Linked DNA regions of Schizosaccharomyces pombe. The protein of the gene in region 1 interacts with the protein of each later gene in a pairwise test. Each region holds a gene or a part of one and is shown in the gene's direction. Other genes may lie near its edges.

Evidence for each region.
Region 2: the proteins of cut15 (region 1) and alp7 interact in a two-hybrid assay, tested with the Schizosaccharomyces pombe proteins (one study listed by BioGRID).
Region 3: the proteins of cut15 (region 1) and omt2 interact in a two-hybrid assay, tested with the Schizosaccharomyces pombe proteins (2 studies listed by BioGRID).

What each region holds. Positions count from the first base shown.
Region 1 is NC_003421.2:548,288-555,439, reverse strand, and holds cut15 (importin alpha family nuclear import signal receptor adaptor Cut15), read left to right. Parts: upstream 1-3,292; 5' UTR 3,293-3,338; coding exon 3,339-4,967; 3' UTR 4,968-5,885; downstream 5,886-7,152. Other genes in the region: XP-G family protein ast1, read right to left, coding at 1-575, 696-919; rps1201 (40S ribosomal protein eS12), read right to left, coding at 1,736-1,792, 1,875-2,255; survivin Bir1, read left to right, coding at 6,292-6,420, 6,468-7,152. UniProt on the Schizosaccharomyces pombe protein: Binds specifically and directly to substrates containing either a simple or bipartite NLS motif. Promotes docking of import substrates to the nuclear envelope. Seems to act as a cytosolic receptor for both simple and bipartite NLS motifs.
Region 2 is NC_003424.3:5,000,456-5,006,921, reverse strand, and holds alp7 (kinetochore-associated protein Alp7), read left to right. Parts: upstream 1-2,436; 5' UTR 2,437-2,726; coding exon 2,727-4,151; 3' UTR 4,152-4,522; downstream 4,523-6,466. Other genes in the region: serine/threonine protein kinase Ppk16, read right to left, coding at 1-1,801, 1,970-2,019, 2,087-2,180, 2,228-2,251; tbc13 (GTPase-activating protein), read left to right, coding at 4,946-5,989, 6,031-6,466. UniProt on the Schizosaccharomyces pombe protein: Required for bipolar spindle formation and proper chromosome segregation. Has an indirect role in connecting the kinetochores and the plus end of pole to chromosome microtubules by targeting alp14 to the spindle pole body.
Region 3 is NC_003424.3:4,514,566-4,520,537, forward strand, and holds omt2 (4-alpha-hydroxytetrahydrobiopterin dehydratase), read left to right. Parts: upstream 1-2,882; 5' UTR 2,883-2,976; coding exon 2,977-3,267; 3' UTR 3,268-3,407; coding exon of another isoform or gene 3,408-3,731; 3' UTR 3,732-4,253; downstream 4,254-5,972. Other genes in the region: anaphase-promoting complex subunit Apc14, read right to left, coding at 3,408-3,731; etf1 (electron transfer flavoprotein alpha subunit), read left to right, coding at 4,481-5,506. UniProt on the Schizosaccharomyces pombe protein: Has a role in spore wall formation.

The sequences.
Region 1 (7,152 bases):
TTATAGTAGATGTTTCTAGCTTGAGGTCATTAAGCGAGTAGAATGCGTGAACGCGAGTCAATTCTTCTTTGGAAACTAACTTTTCGATAAATTTATCTTTTACAGAGTTCTCTAAGATTTTGCAAATATGCTCAAAGGTGTTGTGATAATCAATTACTAGGTCGAGAGGATGCCCTTCTACACCCAAATAGGCAGCAAGAATATGCAAATCGAAATGGAAATCTTTTTGTATTTCATCAAACCTGTATTTTCTTCCACTAATGCCGTTGGAAGTAACATCTAAAGACTGCAAGGGGATGTATCCATAGTGTGGTGTGTCTATATCATAAAGCAAGAAATCCGAGTCTTGACTTAAAATAACAGCATCAAGCTTTTTAGCTTGAAATGCACAATATTTATCTGCTTCTTCGTTACATACAATTACCTTGGCTTTAGCAAGTCCCATAAGCACATGTTGAGCAATTGGCACACAAAGATTTATATAAGCAGAACGTAGATCATTAATCTTTTGCTGATATCTATTGACTCTAACCTGGTGTTTGGAAAAGGGAAGTCCACCATCAAATATGTATTCTCTGTATGCGTTAGAAAGTGAATAAGTCAAAAAAAGGTCATTATGATAGTCCATAATGCAAACCACAAGAGGAGCTTCAATTAATTGAGGTATAAATTAAAAACTCTTCATTTATTCGTACATTTCTTTGAATCTCAACCTACTAAGCAAGTGGTGGAAATCCAATACTGCTTTCTGATATCCTTGAAAATCGGAGCAAACTATTCCTTGGGAAAACCAAAGCCAAAAAGCAAAAGAAGGTCCATCGATAACGAGACTGCAATTTAGAGGTACCTCTGGGTATGAAGAAAAATATACTGGTTTTCCAAATGGCTCCAAAAACCTTCCCAATCGAGGTACTCCCATGACTATTAGTACGAACAGTGCTCTTAAATCCAACACTCGAGGAGTAATAATCAAATTATTTCTTGAAGAGGAGAGTATTTCATTTATCGTGTTTTTTTATTAACGATAATTTTAAATATTCAAAGTAAGGATTTATACATGAACTATAACATTTGATGCAGTATCTCTCGCAGCGTTTTAAAAATTGAGTAGATTGGTAAATGGAAAATGTGAAAACTGCCTTTAATGACTGCTAGCTAACCAAAACTTGTAGGTTTCACTTTATAGAATTAGAGTTACTAACACAAGTTTATCTAGTTGGATTTGATGATTTATATTGAGGAAATGGTTGGCCGTTCAATTTCAAATTACATTGTATCCTTCATTAGCTCAAATGCAAAAATCGAACAACTCATCAAATTCATACATGCTGAAGTGATCGGACAAGAAAAAGCTTTGTCAAAAGCTAATGGATATGGTTTTTTTATAAGCCTCAAGTGTAAGTTTGTTTACATTAGCGTTTTTTATCATTTTAAAAAAGTAAGCATAATATTCAAGTCTTAGCAGCAGTTGAACAATATATGCTTTTTTCTCTATCATCAATACGCAAGGTGTCAGAAAAAAAACTGATTTCTTTTCTGACACAGGAATAAGGCGACAACCATCCTTTTATAAGGTGTTGAATAGCCAGAATGCTTTCGATTTATTTTGTGCTACTCAAAACTACACTCAACTCTCTGACTTCACTTTACAAAAACCTATTTACACACGAATTCTGAAGTAGAAAATAAATTTTTTTTAAATCCTTTCATATTGCTTCGTTTACCACTAGATAGTTTAGGCAGAGAAGCTTTCCAAAAGCTTTTGAAGAGCAGCGGAATCCTCACCATAGTCCTAAATTACATGTTAGTTAATCATATGCAAAATCAACAAGGAACAAAGCCTTTCACCTGCGCCAGGCTAAATTTAAACTTACGGTAACAGCAACACAAGAGCATCCAACAACCTTACGGGCATTACCGTCACGGTCAAGGACACAAAGGCCAGCCCATTCACCCAAAACCTTGGGGTCGGCAACCTTGATCAAAGGAGTCTCAGATTCAGCGCAAAGAGCCTCAACCAATTTAACATAAGCTTCTTGGTCACAGGACTCGCAAAGAACGCAAAGGTGAGCTTGACGGCGGTCAAGAGCCTTGGAAGCCTCGCGAATACCACGGGCAAGACCGTCGTGAACAAGGGCACGCTTCAAAACTTCCTTCAAAGCATCCTCAACGGAGACAGTTTCAGGAGCGGCAGCCTCAACTTCAACTTCTTCGACGACGTCAACTTGTTCAATTTGGTCTCCTTGTTCCGACATGGTGGTAACTTGTAAATTTCAGGATTTCGCGCACTCATTTCCTACGCTCTTCTTACCCAAAAAACAGTCACAAATAAATAGGGTACAAAATCACAATTCGGTAAAAGAACATTAAATCTTTAAGTTTTCTTCGTGTCACTATGCCACACACTAGTTATCGCTATTCCTTATTTAATTTTTTATAGCGTCCAAATACGCTATAATAACGATGCCTTGGTTCGTTTATCATACTTTGAAAGCTATGCAACACTAGTTGTTAGATAGTGAGCTACACCAACACTGCTAATAAACATTACGTTACGCATTAAAATACACTACATGGAGTACCAATTAATCTCAATTTATTGAATAATAGCAGAACGAGTGATGGCTGATGAAGTATATGGTGTTTTTTAATTTCAATTTATTCAAAGGATTATTCTTGAAAAGTTAACCGTGCTCTGTAAATGCGACCTCGACTAGGATGCAGGCCGTTATCTAGTATAGTAAAAGCTTTAACATTGCCCAAACAAATTGCTTATTTTTTTTGGAATAAGAAACGAAATCATCTAGTGCAAAATTAATTTTTAGATAAGAAAAAGATCATTTCATTCTTCACTGGAAGTGTTTAGCGCTACACAACAAGCATAGTTGTTGACATTACCAAATTCGTTTACACATGCAATTTGCAGACACTTTGCGAATACATAAAGAAGAGTTGCAGTCTTTAAAATGTATTTTATGGCTAGAGAATTCTGTTAAGCTGTATATTAGTTTCTTTTCTACACAAAATTGCCAAATACCCGCAAGCTTCAAAGATATACTGAAATAAACACTGGAAGCATTAACTATTTTTAAGAGAATGTTCACGAGCTCTCTAAATGGAAGAGTATAAAAATGAAATATATACATATATAAAAATATTTATACATAAAGGAGATTTATTTTAATAAGAAGATATATAATAGTTTTTTATGAATTATCTGGAGTATTCGCTATAATCATTACGAACGATTGATGAACTGGTCCATGACAGGAAATCAGCCAAGTGTAGACGTATCCTTCGCCATACGTTTAGAGAACGAGTAACTAAAGGAATTGAACATGAGTGCATCTTCTCGCTTTATTCCTGAACACAGAAGACAGAATTACAAAGGTAAAGGTACATTTCAGGCTGATGAGTTACGCCGCAGACGTGAAACCCAGCAAATCGAAATCCGTAAACAAAAACGTGAGGAAAATTTGAACAAGCGTCGTAATCTGGTTGATGTTCAAGAGCCTGCCGAAGAAACTATTCCATTAGAACAAGATAAGGAAAATGATTTAGAGTTGGAGCTTCAATTACCTGATTTATTGAAGGCGTTGTATTCGGATGACATAGAGGCACAAATTCAAGCTACTGCCAAGTTTCGAAAGGCTTTGTCTAAGGAGACAAACCCACCAATTCAAAAAGTTATTGATGCAGGCGTTGTCCCCCGCTTCGTCGAATTTTTATCTCATGAGAACAATTTATTAAAATTTGAGGCTTCTTGGGCTCTCACTAATGTGGCTAGCGGATCTTCCAATCAAACACACGTGGTTGTAGAAGCAAATGCTGTTCCTGTTTTTGTAAGCCTTTTATCTTCTTCTGAACAAGATGTACGCGAGCAAGCAGTTTGGGCATTAGGTAACATTGCTGGTGATTCACCCATGTGTCGTGATCATGTTTTGCAATGTGGAGTTTTGGAGCCTTTGCTTAACATAATCGAATCTAACAGGCGTCTTAGTATGCTCCGCAATAGTACTTGGACCCTGTCTAATATGTGCCGAGGCAAAAATCCACAACCCGATTGGAACAGCATTTCGCAAGTTATCCCTGTTCTGTCGAAATTAATTTATACCTTAGACGAAGATGTTTTAGTTGATGCCCTTTGGGCCATTTCCTATTTATCTGATGGCGCTAATGAGAAGATCCAAGCCATCATTGATGCAGGGATTCCTCGTAGGCTTGTTGAACTTTTAATGCATCCTAGCGCTCAAGTACAGACTCCTGCTCTCCGATCCGTAGGAAATATTGTTACAGGAGATGACGTTCAGACCCAGGTCATCATTAATTGTGGTGCTTTAAGTGCTTTACTTTCTTTGTTAAGCAGTCCACGCGATGGCGTTCGTAAGGAAGCCTGTTGGACAATTAGTAATATAACGGCCGGTAATTCTTCTCAAATTCAATATGTTATTGAAGCTAACATTATTCCTCCTTTAATTCATCTCCTTACGACCGCTGACTTTAAAATCCAAAAGGAAGCCTGCTGGGCCATTTCCAATGCCACATCCGGTGGCGCTCGTCGTCCCGACCAAATTCGCTACCTTGTAGAGCAAGGCGCAATCAAACCTTTATGTAATTTGCTGGCTTGTCAAGATAACAAGATTATCCAGGTTGCTTTAGATGGTATTGAAAATATTTTGCGAGTGGGTGAACTTGATCGCGCGAATAACCCTGATAAAATCAATTTATACGCCGTCTACGTTGAGGATGCTGGTGGTATGGATTTGATCCACGAATGTCAGAACTCATCTAATTCGGAAATTTACCAAAAAGCTTACAATATTATCGAAAAGTTTTTCGGTGAAGAAGACGAAATCGAAGAGCTTGAACCAGAAACCGTCGGTGATACGTTTACATTTGGAACTACACAAGAGCCTGCCGGCGATTTTCAATTTTCGGCGACTAATGCCGAAGATATGGCTATGTAATGATACTTCACATACATTATTCATTTATGCTTGTTTAGGTTTCGTTCTTTTTTAGATTGTTCATTTTCATAAACATCGAAGTGGCTTCATGATTTTGGCTGTGGTCCTGTGGTTTATAATATCGTTAAATTATTTCATTGAGCAATTGAGGATGCCGATTTTTTCATTTACCTTTACGTGTATGGCGCGATTGTTATTAGACGAGATTATTACATTTTAGGAGGTTTACCTAGACATACATTCCGCAGTTGTCACTCTTCTCATTTTGTTATATTGTTGTTTAATGATTGTGCTGGAAAGTTGAACATCTTGTACTTGTTAAATTATTTCTCAAGTCCGTCCTGAGTGTGCGTGTCGAAACGAACTTTTGTTTACTTTTTTTCATTCACTTTCTAACCAACGAATGGTTTATAGATCGTGGTTATTTTGTGAGTTTATTATTTGTTTTATTGACGAAACACAGGAATCATTCAACAGTTTTGGTCTTTGTTGTCGATTTAGTTGTAGCTTTTGGCTGCTCCACTACTAGATACAGGTTTTGTACCTTTGAAACAACATGGGACTAATTCAATTAATTTATTTTACATTGTCTTCATGATTGTACTTCCTCTATTGCTTAACTTTTATTTGAGGTTTTAGGAAGTTCAATATTTCCACCGCATTTGTCATCCTCTTTTCAACTTTTTTCTAATGAGACAGCTGATTCATCATTGTATTCATAACTTTGACCATCGCATCGAAAGAGGAAAATGAAATCAGATTTGTCTTGTTGATATGCATAGTTTCCTTTGAATAGCCATGAAAATGTAGCCTTATTCTTCTTTCACGATGCTCCATACTTTAGAGTTGGAGCTTTAATATTATTATATGTAACAATATTAGTACCAAACTATGATACATTACTTTGTGCTAGCAAAAATCTTCTAGTTAAATTTTGAATTTATTAACAAAGATCATAAGGCTGACATTAAAGACAATAATTGAATCTTCCTTACTCAATATAATATCTAAACCTAGTCATCTCGAAAAATTTGTAACCAGTGAACCTTCCATTTATTAAAGTCTGCTATACTACTTAACGACATTTTACGCAATATAACGACATTGTTCAATTACAGTAAACTCGTGTGCCCTAGCAATCTACAAAAAGTAAACATTACCCATATACGCCTTGCGAGGCGACCTTCCCTATCCTATGCATTTGGAAGTATCTGATATTGTCTAAAGACAATAACCAGAAGTTTTAAAAAAATTAATTTTATAGTTTTAAGGATCGGAAGTCGAAATTTGGTATCTAAATTTCACTTGTTGAAGCTTGCTCAGAATGAAACCGATAACGTCTTCTTCTAAACGCCGATGGAATCGGTTTCGAAGGGAAATGTGTAATTACTCTAAACGACTTGACACTTTCCAGAAAAAAAAATGGCCGCGAGCCAAACCGACGCCAGAAACTGTATGTTGACGATAGAGTTTTCATCTGTGTTGCTAACAAGAAAATAGCTTGCTACTGTCGGTTTCTATTACAATCCAATCTCTGAATCTAATTCTGAAGAAAGACTTGATAATGTTACATGCTATATGTGTACCAAGTCATTTTATGACTGGGAGGATGATGATGATCCATTGAAAGAGCATATTACTCATAGCCCCAGCTGTCCATGGGCATATATTTTATCCTCAAAAAACAATCCAAACCAGAACCCCCAAGCTGCAGCTCTCACAAAATGTCGAGAACAAACTTTTGTTGATAAAGTATGGCCGTATACCAATCGCCCTGATTATCACTGTGAGCCGAGTGTAATGGCTGCTTCTGGTTTTGTATACAATCCAACTGCTGATGCTAAAGATGCAGCTCATTGCTTATATTGTGATATTAATCTTCATGATTGGGAACCGGATGATGACCCTTACACCGAGCACAAACGCCGTCGTGCGGACTGTGTGTTTTTTACATGGAAAGACCCAAATAGCTTATCTCCTACTAAACTGTCTTTTTTATCTACGTCGAACATTGACCCTGAAGACTTGACCGAGGATAATTCCATTCTTCCCGTTTCTCCCACCCGAGATTCAACAAAATCTCATAAAACTTTAAATTTCTCCCCTAGTAGAAAGAATAATCTTAATGCACGTCCTTTAACAATGTCCCTTTATACTAATACCTCTGAGGAGAAAGACTCACAAC
Region 2 (6,466 bases), on another chromosome or scaffold:
CCGGCTCCTCTTCCTCTTTGACTGAGCTTTGATTAAACATCAGAGAGGAAGATGATTGCGGGTTTTTTCTACCAGAACCAACTGTAAAAATTGCAGTAGCATTTATACGAGTGTTAAATGGCTCTCCGGAAGGAAAATGGAAACTTTTGTGCAATCGTTCAAAAGGAGAATGAAAAGGTGTTTGCCTTTGAACGGTCGAACTGGAAGGTTTAGATGAAATAATAGAAATTAAAGAATTTGAAGATGCAGAAGAGACGTTTGAATAGGATCTAGTACGGGATGAATTCCTCGAAGAAGCAACGGAAGAACGCCCAGACAAGCTGCGTATGGGAGTTCGTGATCGTCGAGTCGGCTGGGGAGATATGACAGTATTTTGCAGAGGAGAAGGTGGAATATCAATATTAATTGAGAGGTTCGAACTTTTAGAAGGGCTATTTTGAGAGTTCGAGGGGAAGGTAAAGTCTTTATTACCGTCGAGGTTTACCGTTTTTAAAAGAGGAGGAGTGAATGGTGTGTTTTGCTCACCTGTATCAACGTGCGTTGTTTGAGGAAGATTTGAGTGTCTTCTTCCAAAACTGTTAATCGAAGGAAACACGGTAAGGTTCTCAACTGAATTGTCTAAAGACTCAGATAAATTATCGGAATCAAAATTTTCTTGAGTTAAATAGTTTTCAGCCGAAGGACTAGGTGTTCTTGGTCTAATTGCTGATGAGCTTAACGTATCAGCAGTATGCTTTTGTTTAGGATCGAATAACCAACTACGAAATGTAGAAAGCAAAGAATTACTTGAATCTGACGATGTATGCCGACTTTTTAAAGAATCCTGATTGTTGGACATAACAGAAACTTGAGCGGTTTTTAATGATGGAGTTGCTGGAGCTATGTGTACAGCCGAAGATGAACCTTTATGTAAATGAAACAAACCTTTCTTTTTTTTGTTTTCCTTACGCATTTCTTTTTCTAGTAATAAAAGCCACCATCCATAGAACATGTCACAGCGCTGTTGTGAGATGCTGGCATTAAGTTGATCCATGTCAACACCAACAAATTCAAGCCTTTTACGAACTTTTTCCTCTGCTTTCGAGGAAGGCCTTGGGTCTCGAATAGAAGATGAATGATATCCATTTTCCTTGAAATAGGGGTGAGAGATGATTTGATCGATAGAGGGTCGAAGTCGGTAATCCTTGCAAAGGAGGGATTTCAACAAGCTTGAAGAGTTTTTGGAGAGTGTTTCAGGATATTGAGGACATTCATTGATAATTTTTTGCTCAGTTAAAGATACATCGTCCTCGTCGAACGGGAGCCTTCCTATTAAGAGAGCGTACATAATTATACCCAGAGACCATATATCAACGCATTCACCAATATATTTATGGCCCTGTACTAGCTCCGGAGCACAATAAGCAACTGTACCACAACGTGTGTTCATAAATGTTCTACGGGAACAATCAGAATCTCTAGAAAACCCAAAGTCTCCAAGCTTAACATTGTAGGCTTTATCTAGAAAAATATTTTCGAGTTTAAGGTCACGGTGAACACAGCCTTGTCTATGTAAATACTGAATAGCACAGCATAGCTGCCACATGATACGGCAAGTGGTCTTTTCATCCAGCCTTTTTTCTCTCGCTACCCAGTCATACAATTCACCATTTGGACAATACTCCATGGCAAGATAAATTCGGTCTTCGGTGCATACTACTTCATAAAGCCTCGTGATGTTTGGATGAAGAAGACGCCGATGATGATGAATTTCTCGAGCAAGGATAATCGCTTGTTTCCTGCAAGATGATTTCAGGACAACCTTTAATAAAAATGTTAGCAAGGTACAATCAATTTATTGATGAATAAAACGTTTATCATTCTCATAATGTAATCAACCGACTTTGGAACGGTCAATATTCGCAATTTACGAGCCGTTTATTCTTCTTTTTATAACTTAGAGACATAGTAATCTTTGAATAACCCATACCTTTGTATTTGTCAGTAAATGAGCTGCCAAATAAACTTTTCCAAAGCTGCCTACAACCCATGCTTGTTAGATAGCCGTCCAGTATTGAGCGTTCACAATAACACAAAAGTATCGTACCTTCACCGACAACACTCTCAATGCGATATGTACCGACATCAGAGATACGAGGATTGCAAATTGTTGCAATTAGGTCATTGTATGAGGCCGATATCTGCCATTCATTAGATAATCACGATTTCCCTCTTTTCATATACATACGTTTGCCTTTTCATTTTTCTTCATACTAAAATTTGGCACACATAATATCAAAGGTTGACTTGCAAATTGTTTAGTGTTTACAGTAGGATACTTTGGTGTTATTACAAAGGCTTCGGAGAACAAGCTACCGAAAATTCACCGAGAGCTCGGTGAACTCTTCCCACTCTCTCCTTACTCAGTGTAAACCAGTATGTATGTGCCTTTTATTTACACCACCATTGTACGCCTAGTGTTGAATCAAGACGAAGAATTGAGGGCAATAAGGGGTTATTTATTGGGCATTGTATGACTCAAGTTTGTTATTGAACCATTGTTCTACGTAGGCGGACATCTGACCAGTTTTCAAAAAGTAAAAATAAAAGTTAGCTACTGATCGTTAACTTTGAAACGATAATACCAGCTGTAAAATATTTGAAAAAGGATTTTCTTGTGTATTTATATTTCATATATCTGTTAGTTCTTTATATCGTTTGACGATTTTAAAAAGTCATAACCGAAAATGAGTGATATCGTTTCGAGCTCTACAGATTACAGTAGGAGGTCTCCCTCCTCATCTAGTATTGGGACAAATGAAACTGATCATACGGGTTTTCATGAAAAAAGGCAAGGTGCCTCTTCAGAATCATTGATTCCTCCAGCTCAACGAAGTTCAGAGGAATCCATGCCTGCCCCTAAATTATTCCCTAAGTTAACTTCTAAACCCAATCCACAGCTGAATTTAAAGGATACTCTTAATAAGCGAGTAAGCGATCGACTACAAGCCTTAGAGTTGAATAAATCTTTTGATTTTTCAGGAACCCCTAGACCGATGCATCCCATATCCCATCCTTTGTCACAGCATAAAACGCCAGAATTTAAGCATAGAAAAAGAAATGTAGAATCTATTTTGACGCCGAAGAATCCTTCTTTATTTTCATCGTCCAATGCGGCCTCCCAACGAGGCTCTTTAAATACCGCTCCATCTAATTTTGCATACAGTCATTCATCATCTTTGCAAACATCAGCTAGTTCTAGGCCCCCAGTGCTTTCAAACGGAAGCTTCCCACGTCAAACTAATACGGCGCCGTTGAACCCACCAGTGCATTTGAAAGACAACATTCGCAACTCTGCTACACCATCAACTTCACAGGCCGATATACCTACTCAATACCCAATTAATTCCACTCAAAAGCAGCAAGCGAAATACGAAGCTGAAATAGAGGGCTACAAAGCCAAACTTGCTGGCACTTATCATGAAATTTCCGTACTCCAAAATACAATCGTCAATGTTTCGGGACAATTGATTGCCGTTAATGACCAACTTCAGCAACTTAGATCTGGAAAAGCATCGACTAGTCCCTCCACAAAGGATACCAACATGAGACTTGTTGAAGGGCATAATGAAGAGACATTAGCTCTTCAGAGAGGTAAATATACTCAAGAGGAAGTTGACAAGTTAATTCAAGAACGCATGGAAAAAGTTGCTGAAGATTTACATGCTCAGTACTCAGCCAAGCACACTCAGAAAATTAATGCTTTCAAAGCCAATTATGCTCGAAAATACGAGGCAACTATACAGGAGCTTCAAAATCAAATCGGTACTGCTCCTAATGCTCCAAAAATATCCAACAGTAACTGGGAGGAAGAAAGGCGAGCATTGAAAGCAGACAATCAGACTCTCCAAAAACAGCTGGAGAAAGCCATTCAAGAGCGCCAAGATATGTCAGATTTTTTGAACAATTTTAAAGCTGATATGGCGAAGAGTGATAAGTTACTAATGCAACAACAATCACAACAGACAGGTGATTTGGAAACACTTCGTTTACAACTGCAAGCGCTTCAAGAAGAGCTCCGGGTCGAAAGGGAGGAACGACAACAGTTGATACAAATGAGCGAGGACTTGGTAATTGCAATGGATCAACTGAATTTGGAGCAAAAATCATGATCTGCGCTTTCATTTTTGATAAAAACAATCTCCATAATTTTTTTTTTTTTTTTGATAGAGTATTGCTAATGTATTGATGCCGTTTCCTTTATCCAAACCACTTCTGTATTCTCATGATTAATTTAGTTTCATATTGATGACCCCAGTTTCATGAATACAACCCGAATTCTTTTGATTTCCATTAATTAAGCCTTCTTTTATGGTTATACATTATCTACCAATTTTCGTATATTTATACATCATAACAGTTCGATATACAACCTAATATAAATTGCATATCCACTCTTTCTTCTTTTATTTGTATTATAGATAGAATCAAAACTGGAGCCAATCTCAAGGCTAATTTCTCACATACATACATTAGAAAACGGTGCATTTATTTAATAAATATCCAATTATTATTAATTGCTCGTTCTAGGTGCTGTTTAAACCAAATATTTCTTTCCTGGTCTGTATGTTGCACCTACATCAATCTTACCTATACTGTACATCTACTAAGGACGTTCATTACTCTGTACTTTCCTACAGTATTTGATTAGGGAAGTATTGTTAAGAAGGAAATTAGTATAAAAAATAAGTCAGAAAATTTAGTCGGTTCTTAAACTTGCATTCAATTTTAGTAGCTAACTTAGTTCCATCATCCACGTGTGAAACAGGCTACTGAACACACCAATTGCGCTCTCCTTTTCTTCATATATTTAATTTTCAACAGTAATATTTTATATATGATAATATAACTAAATTGGATATAGTCAAACTACATAATATCTTATTTGAATCGCTTCTAGTTTATTATGGACTATAAGCAACGCATTGAAAAATTTAAAGACATTTTAAATTCGGAAGAGCCAATTTCTCTCCCTGGTTTATGCTCGCTTTGTATTCAAGGAATTCCTGATGAATATTCACTTAGGGCAAAAGCTTGGATGTTGATGCTTGAGTTCCTTCCTACCGATAGATCAAACTGGCAATCAGTTCTAGAAAAACATCGAAAAACTTATACATCTTTCGTTCAAGAGCTTCTTATTGATCCTTGGAGGAAACTAACTCTACACGAGGAATCAGGCGAAAACAGTGACCATCCTTTAAATACTAGTGATGATTCAAAATGGAAGGAATATTTCGATGACAATCAAATACTTGAACAAATTGATAAAGATATTCGTCGGACTCTCCCCGATTTATCGTTCTTTCAAGGAAAATCTGAGATCAACAAGAAACCTTCAGTCAACAATGTCAGTGAGAACATTAGTGTAAACACAGAAGACGATAAAGTTGAAGAAGTTGGACAGAAACTCAACTATACCAAAATAACTTCAATTGATCAAAGCCAAGAAACACCGGTCCATTTATCAACGATTGACTTTTCCAAATTTCAAGAAGAATGTCATCTTGTGCTACAAGGTCGAATTTATCGTCTTGAAAATGAATCGACTAGTTCATCTACAACAGCTCTCAGTACTCCTCGACAAAGCATGGATTCAAAAAGAACTATAAATGCTGAAGCAATAGCTGGAGAAAACAAGTTAGGCTTACATCGAGAAGCGGCTGAAAGGATTTTATTTATTTATGCGAAACTCAATCCGGGCATTGGATATGTACAAGGCATGAACGAGATTCTAGCTCCTTTGTATTATGTGTTAGCCACGGATCCTACTTATGAAAATTATTATTTATGTGAATGCGATGCATTTTTTTTATTTACTCAAATGATGGTTCAAGTTCGTGATTTGTATGAAAAAACTCTGGATCATGATTCGGATCATGGCATTCACTTTCTTATGTCTAAATTTACTGAACGTTTAAAAAAATATGATTATGAATTATGGGAGAATTTAGTACGTATTAATATTATATATCATTACTGACCAACCATTAGGAGGAAAAACAAATCCATCCAACGTACTATTCTTTTCGTTGGTTTACATGTTTATTGTCTCAGGAGTTTCCTTTGCCGGATGTAATACGATTATGGGACTCTATTATTGCAGATCAAATGAAAGCAAGATTATTTGGAAAAAACGATGATGGTTTCAACGGTGCTTATGACTTTTTAATGGATTTTTGTTGTTCCATATTAATTGAACTAAGAGAAAGTATTTTAGAAAGAAACTTTGCAGATTCAATTAAGCTGTTACAAGCTCATTTTAATGTTGATATGCCTAAATTGCTTAATCTTACATTTGAGTTGCAACATTTAAGGAAAACATCCAAAAATGATGAAGATATGTCTTATGTTCGGAAAAATAGCTACAATACTAATGCTTTGGCCAACTCTTTAAAAAATCGAGTATTGTCGACATATAACACTGTGA
Region 3 (5,972 bases), on another chromosome or scaffold:
ACGTTAAGTTTCAGACAAACAAAATATACGACAGCCTAAATGGCAGCAGCGAAACAAAACAAAAACGATGCAATGCAATGCGATGCTTTTCAGTACAAATCAAAAAGCCAGCCCAAAATAGTTCTGTAAAGATAATTACAACAATCTGTCCGGCCGGATTGCTGGAGGAAGGATGGATTGTATGTTGGGAATAATGAGAGGGCTTGGATGCTTTATAATGAGATACAGTAATTAGAGAACAAAGAAGTTATTTCAAAGAAATCACAAAGTCAAAAAGGACTTTATTTGCTCGCAAATATTACGACAATTACTGGGAGAATGCTTGATTGAATGGGACGTACTGTTTATGCTACCCCTGCCTTTGTCCCGTGTAACACAAAGTGGGAAGAGTAACAAAGAAACGAAGTAAGCCAAGTAAACAAAGAATCTCAACAGCAGCTTTCAGTGGCGAAAACAAAGCGTTGAAAACAAAGGGAATCAACGAAATTTATAGACCTACGATGAAAATTTCAGTAGCCTTTACTGTTAGGCATTTACTGTGAACGTTTTTGCAATGCCCCTGAGGGGCTAGCTCGAGAAGGGTTTGTAAAACAAAGAAACTTTAAAATAGGAACAAAGAAATCGGTCGGCTTTCGTTACTCTATCTAAAGTTATGATGCGATGTCAGTAAGCTCTAATATAAGAGGACGATAATGGAAAAAAAATCCCATAAAAAGCGGGACAACTGATCCAATTTGGACAGATTGAAAGCCAACGCGACTCGCGTTAGATAGAGTAAATAGCGAGAAACGCTAAATGCATTTTCTTTTATGGTGTTTGCTTTGTCTACTGAAGCAAAAGGCTATTTATTCAAATCAGTGGTAATTAGTGTATAGCTTGTAAAGGTAAGTTAGTCCTTTTGAAAGTTTGAAAAAGATGATAGATAAAAAACAACGTTGTATCCATCCCGAAAAACATGGACAAGTCAAAGAAATCACATTTTTTATTTGCCTTCATTAGTGTAGTAATCTCCACCTTGCTGTATAATTCGGTAAGGATTTCTTTTGTTATTTACGCGTGCTTTTTTCCATACATCTTTTTTCGCCAATGCAAAACCCTCTTTTAACAGTGTTTCTTCTTTCAACCCTTATTCAGCGCATGCGTCTCCTATATTTGCGCGTTTTACACAGAGGTCGTTTGACATCCAGATTGTTCTCTGGCATGAAAGATAACTACATCATTTAATATTAGCAACTTGCTCACTTTCTTTTCTTTTCACATAAACTATAAAGCTGTTCGGCAATTAAAATTCCCCACTGAAATCCAATTAGCCAACGATCAAACTAGATCGCATTTATTGAGTGATTTGAAAACAATGCTTTATGCGCAAAAGTGGAGAAGGTAAATGTAGACAACCTCACGTTTTTGTTTATAAACATTAGTAAACGCCGCATTCGATTTTAATGTATCACGTATAAATCGGTAAATATGTGTGTACCACGGTTGTAGAAGTGCTCGAAGACAAGTAAGAAGGAAGCATTAATAACTTTTGGCAATTAAAAAGAGGTTGGGAATTCAGAACAAAAAAAGAGTAAAAGCGATATATTTATTCTATTCCAAAAGATTTGTATGCATGTATAAGAGATTTTAAGGCTGATGATGGTTTTTGATTATACTTTGGGTTTACATTATTTTTGTTTTGTTCTGTTTTGTTTGTTTTGTTTTGCTTTCGTATACACTCTATTTTTTTTTAAACGTAAAATGATCATTAGCGATGTTGCTTCAGTAAAGCGAGAGTCAGTGAACAATGGTTAGATTAAAGCTTTGCTGAGTAAATATTTTTTGGCTTTCTTATTAAAGGTCTTATAAGAAACATATGTGTATTTTTTGTTTTATTGCTTAGCCAGTTTACTATTTTTGGGACAATGCGTTTCGTAAACGTTTATGATGTTTGATGTACGTGACGAATTGTTCAAAAGTTAAATTTTGAGGTTTAAAAAAAATGAAGGCCTGAGAAACCGCTTCTATCTCTATGGTTGTTTATATCACCAACAAATGTCAATTGAGAATTTGAGGAAAGAACAGAAACCTAAGAGGAATCTTGTTCTTAAAGGATGAAAAATCAACATGACAATTCCTTCATTTTATACATCTTGGAAGCGAAACACAAGAAGGGGTGAAAGGAAGTTGAAGAGCTTGAAAATGTCAGTCAGCAAAGGAATTCCACAATTTTTTTGATAAGTGACGTGAAAGAAACCTTTTGAGTTTGGTTTCAATGCTTCATGCTTCTCGAGAAAAGAGGCGGTCTTGGGTTTTTATAATTTTGTGTTTGAAGGTCCCATTTGATATTTGGAATGTTGCTGCAGTGAAACCTAACTGTTTACAAGTATTTTTATTTTTATTCATAAATGTCTCGTAAGCTAAGTCTCACCTTTTCTCTTATGCAAACAGGAGGTTATTTGATTATAGTTATCGAATAAATGGATGATTGATCCATGTATAAAATGATATTGTTAATGGTATTGATATCTTGTTTTAAAACATGTTTGTTACTTATAGAAGCACTATGTGTTGAAGCCAAGTCGATAAACTTTTAAAAATTAGGAAGTGTTCCATGAATAAAATATTTTAACATTAAAAAGAGCGAATGACTATTTACCCATAAAAACTGATGGATAAAATGCTACAAGACCAAACCAAGCATATTTTATTTATTTTGGAAATAAAACTAGGAAACTGTTTATACAATTAACAAATATAATTCTAATGCTCCTCTGTAGAAGAGGTTCTTTTAGCGTAGTAGCTAAATTTACTCTTTTGATGTTGTGAATAAGACAAGACGATATGATTTCGTTCTCTTTCACATACCAAAGTAAAAGGAGGTAAATTGAGTGTATTAAAACAGTTACGTTCTACACACATCACATTGATATTTTACCTAAATTTTGAAGAAAAACATTTTTTCTGGAATAAACGTTGGTTTAGAAGGTTGAAAAAATGAACACATCAGCTAGATTACTGGCGTTAGTCTCGAAATCAAAAAACAACTGGATTCTTCAACAAGGAGATACAAAACTATTTAAAAGCTTTCGTTTTAAAAACTTCATTGAAGCTTGGGGATTTATGAGCTGTGTCGCATTGCGTGCACAACAGCTAAATCATCATCCCGAATGGACTAATGTATACAATAAAGTGGATATTACGTTGACAACTCACGATACAAAGGGACTTACAGAAAAAGATTTAAAGCTGGCAGAATTTATTGATACACTTGCAAAGGATAACTGAAAGCTGCAACCAAGAGGGTAGTAGCGGAAAACTATCTTGAGACACAGATTGCCAGAAATTATTCTTAATATTTTGAATTAATTTAGTGTTTAGTGATGTGGTGTTTGAAAGGATAAGAATTTATATCATAAACTCATTAATCACCATTCAGCCAACTGGTCAAGTTGTTGAACATGTTTTGTCAGATGCTGCATAATAGCTTGCCTGTATTCTGGAATAGAACTTCTGCTGGAAGCAATTCTGGATATTGCAATTCTACTTGCCCTTTCATTTCTTTCTTGCTCGGCCTCTTCACCACCTATAACATCTCGATAATTCCAAAATTCAATGGCTTTTGAAGCTTCAGGGAGTAGAAGTGGTTTCTTGGCGAGAGGTTTTGGGTTGCCAGACATGGAGAGTCTTTGAAAGACGTTTCCAAAAGTTCGATAACTTTTGGACTGACCAGTACCAGCAAACGGATCCATATGACCTCGAAACGTTTTAATATACAAAAGTAAAAAAAACCCCCGTGAGTACTAAGAGACAATGACTTCAATCATTGATTTGTTCTTCTTTAAAAGAGAACCGTTTAAATATGAAAATTGTAATCTCTTTTGTATTTAAGCAGTAAGTGAAGAGGTTTGGACAAGTGATTAGGAAATTTCACCGATTTTCTTGTTTATTTACTATCTTGTGTGCGTAGTTGAACAAAACTCCTTGCCATCGTTAGAAAGCAATGCTTGTGGTATAAGAATGTGGAGTGTGTTATTAAAATAAAATAGTGAAGTCACCTTTTGTCTCCTAATATCTTAGTGAACTTTAACGTTGATGAACGATTCAATAACTGTAATGCTAAGAAGGATACATTGAGTTTCTCATATTTTTTTTTATTTGAAAAGAATTTTCATTATTATTATTTTTAATGATGCACCTAGTTATTGCAATCGCTATAGACTTTAAACTTTGTATTGAAAGAATTTGTCAAAATATTGGCAGTTGGTTATCAAAAAAAATAAATGTAAGGTATATGAAAATTAGGATGTTTTCATACTCACGAAAAATCATTTCTGGTAGATAAATCACTTAAATATATCACGATTACTTATTTTTAGTTATTTTACCTTTGAAATGTAAGACTGTATTACTTAAGTTTTTTCTTAGTATAATATGTGAACATACATATTGTCAGCGTACATCCTCATTCACCCTCAAACCTACAACGAAGTATTCTAACATGCTAAGGACTACTAGCCGGACATTTTCTAGGGCTTTGTCTTCTTCTAACTTTAAAATAAATTGTGGAAGAAGGCATTGGTTTAGTGTTTTGACGTTGCTTGAGCATCAGGGAGGGAACTTGTCTCCAGCATCCTTGTCAGCAGTAGAAGCAGCAAAGCGTACCGGTGGGGATGTTTTTGGATTTGTAATCGGTAAGGATTCTTCTCAAATTTCTCAAAAGGTAGCAAAATCGGTGAACGATTTGAAAAAGGTTATCTACGTTGAGAATCCGTCATATGAGCATAACATTCCCGATCAAATAGCCAATGTTCTTTTTGAAAATGTTAAGAAAAATGAAATTAGTCATGTTTTTTCTGCTCATTCAACTGTTGGTAAAGGGGTGATGCCTCGTTTGGCTGCTATGTTTGATGTGATGCAGATTAGTGACATTATTGGTGTGGTTTCTGCTGACACATTCGTTCGTCCGACATACGCGGGAAACGTAAACGTTACTGTGTCTACAAAGGATCCTATTAAAATCGTCACCGTTCGTGCATCTGCATTTGACGCCGCTCCTTCAAGTGGTGAAGGAGCAGCCACTGTTGTTGAAGGTATTGATCCAAAACCAGCTGCTCTACAAGAATGGGTTAGTGAGAATATTATAAAGAATGCTAGGCCTGATTTGTCTTCTGCCGAAAGAGTTGTTGCTGGTGGTCGACCTTTGAAAGACAAAGAGACATTTGAACGCATCCTTACACCTTTGGCTGACAAATTGGGTGCAGCAATTGGTGCTACACGTGTTGCCGTGGATTCTGGCTATGCTGATAATTCTTTACAAATAGGTCAAACTGGAAAAATCATCGCCCCAAAGCTTTATATTGCTGTTGGAATTGATGGTGCTATTCAGCATCTTGCCGGAATCAAAGATAGCAAAGTCATTGCTGCTATAAATCGCGATGAAAATGCTCCTATCTTTCAAACAGCAGATGTGGGAATTGTAGGTGACTTATTTGAAATCGTCCCGGAGCTTACTGAAAAACTTTGAAAATCATGTTGAGGAATGATTCCTTATTTTTCATAATATCACATTTATTTCAAATTTCACATCTTTTTAGAAGTTAATAAAATACACGTTTATTTAACTGGGTACTCGTAATAAATTAAGGAAATTTTTGATGTAATATTTAATTATATACCAGTGAAACAACTCTGAAGTCGTTTTATACATACATTTATGAAGCCACCTCAGCAAAGCTATCGTAGGTTGATTATCAAACATTTCAACGTATGAGAAAGAAAGGGATTTTTTTAGCGGTCTAGATATTTAACCAGAGATAAATGATAGAAACATGGAAAACATAGAATACGCATACACTCTCAGCAATACTTCAATGTCATCACAAAGCAAATCTATTAAAAGAAAATAAAATGCAAAGGCCGATTGATATTGCCAATAATTTTAAATTCTCTGACAAAAATAAGGGTGCGAAAAGAGAATATTTTCATAATAT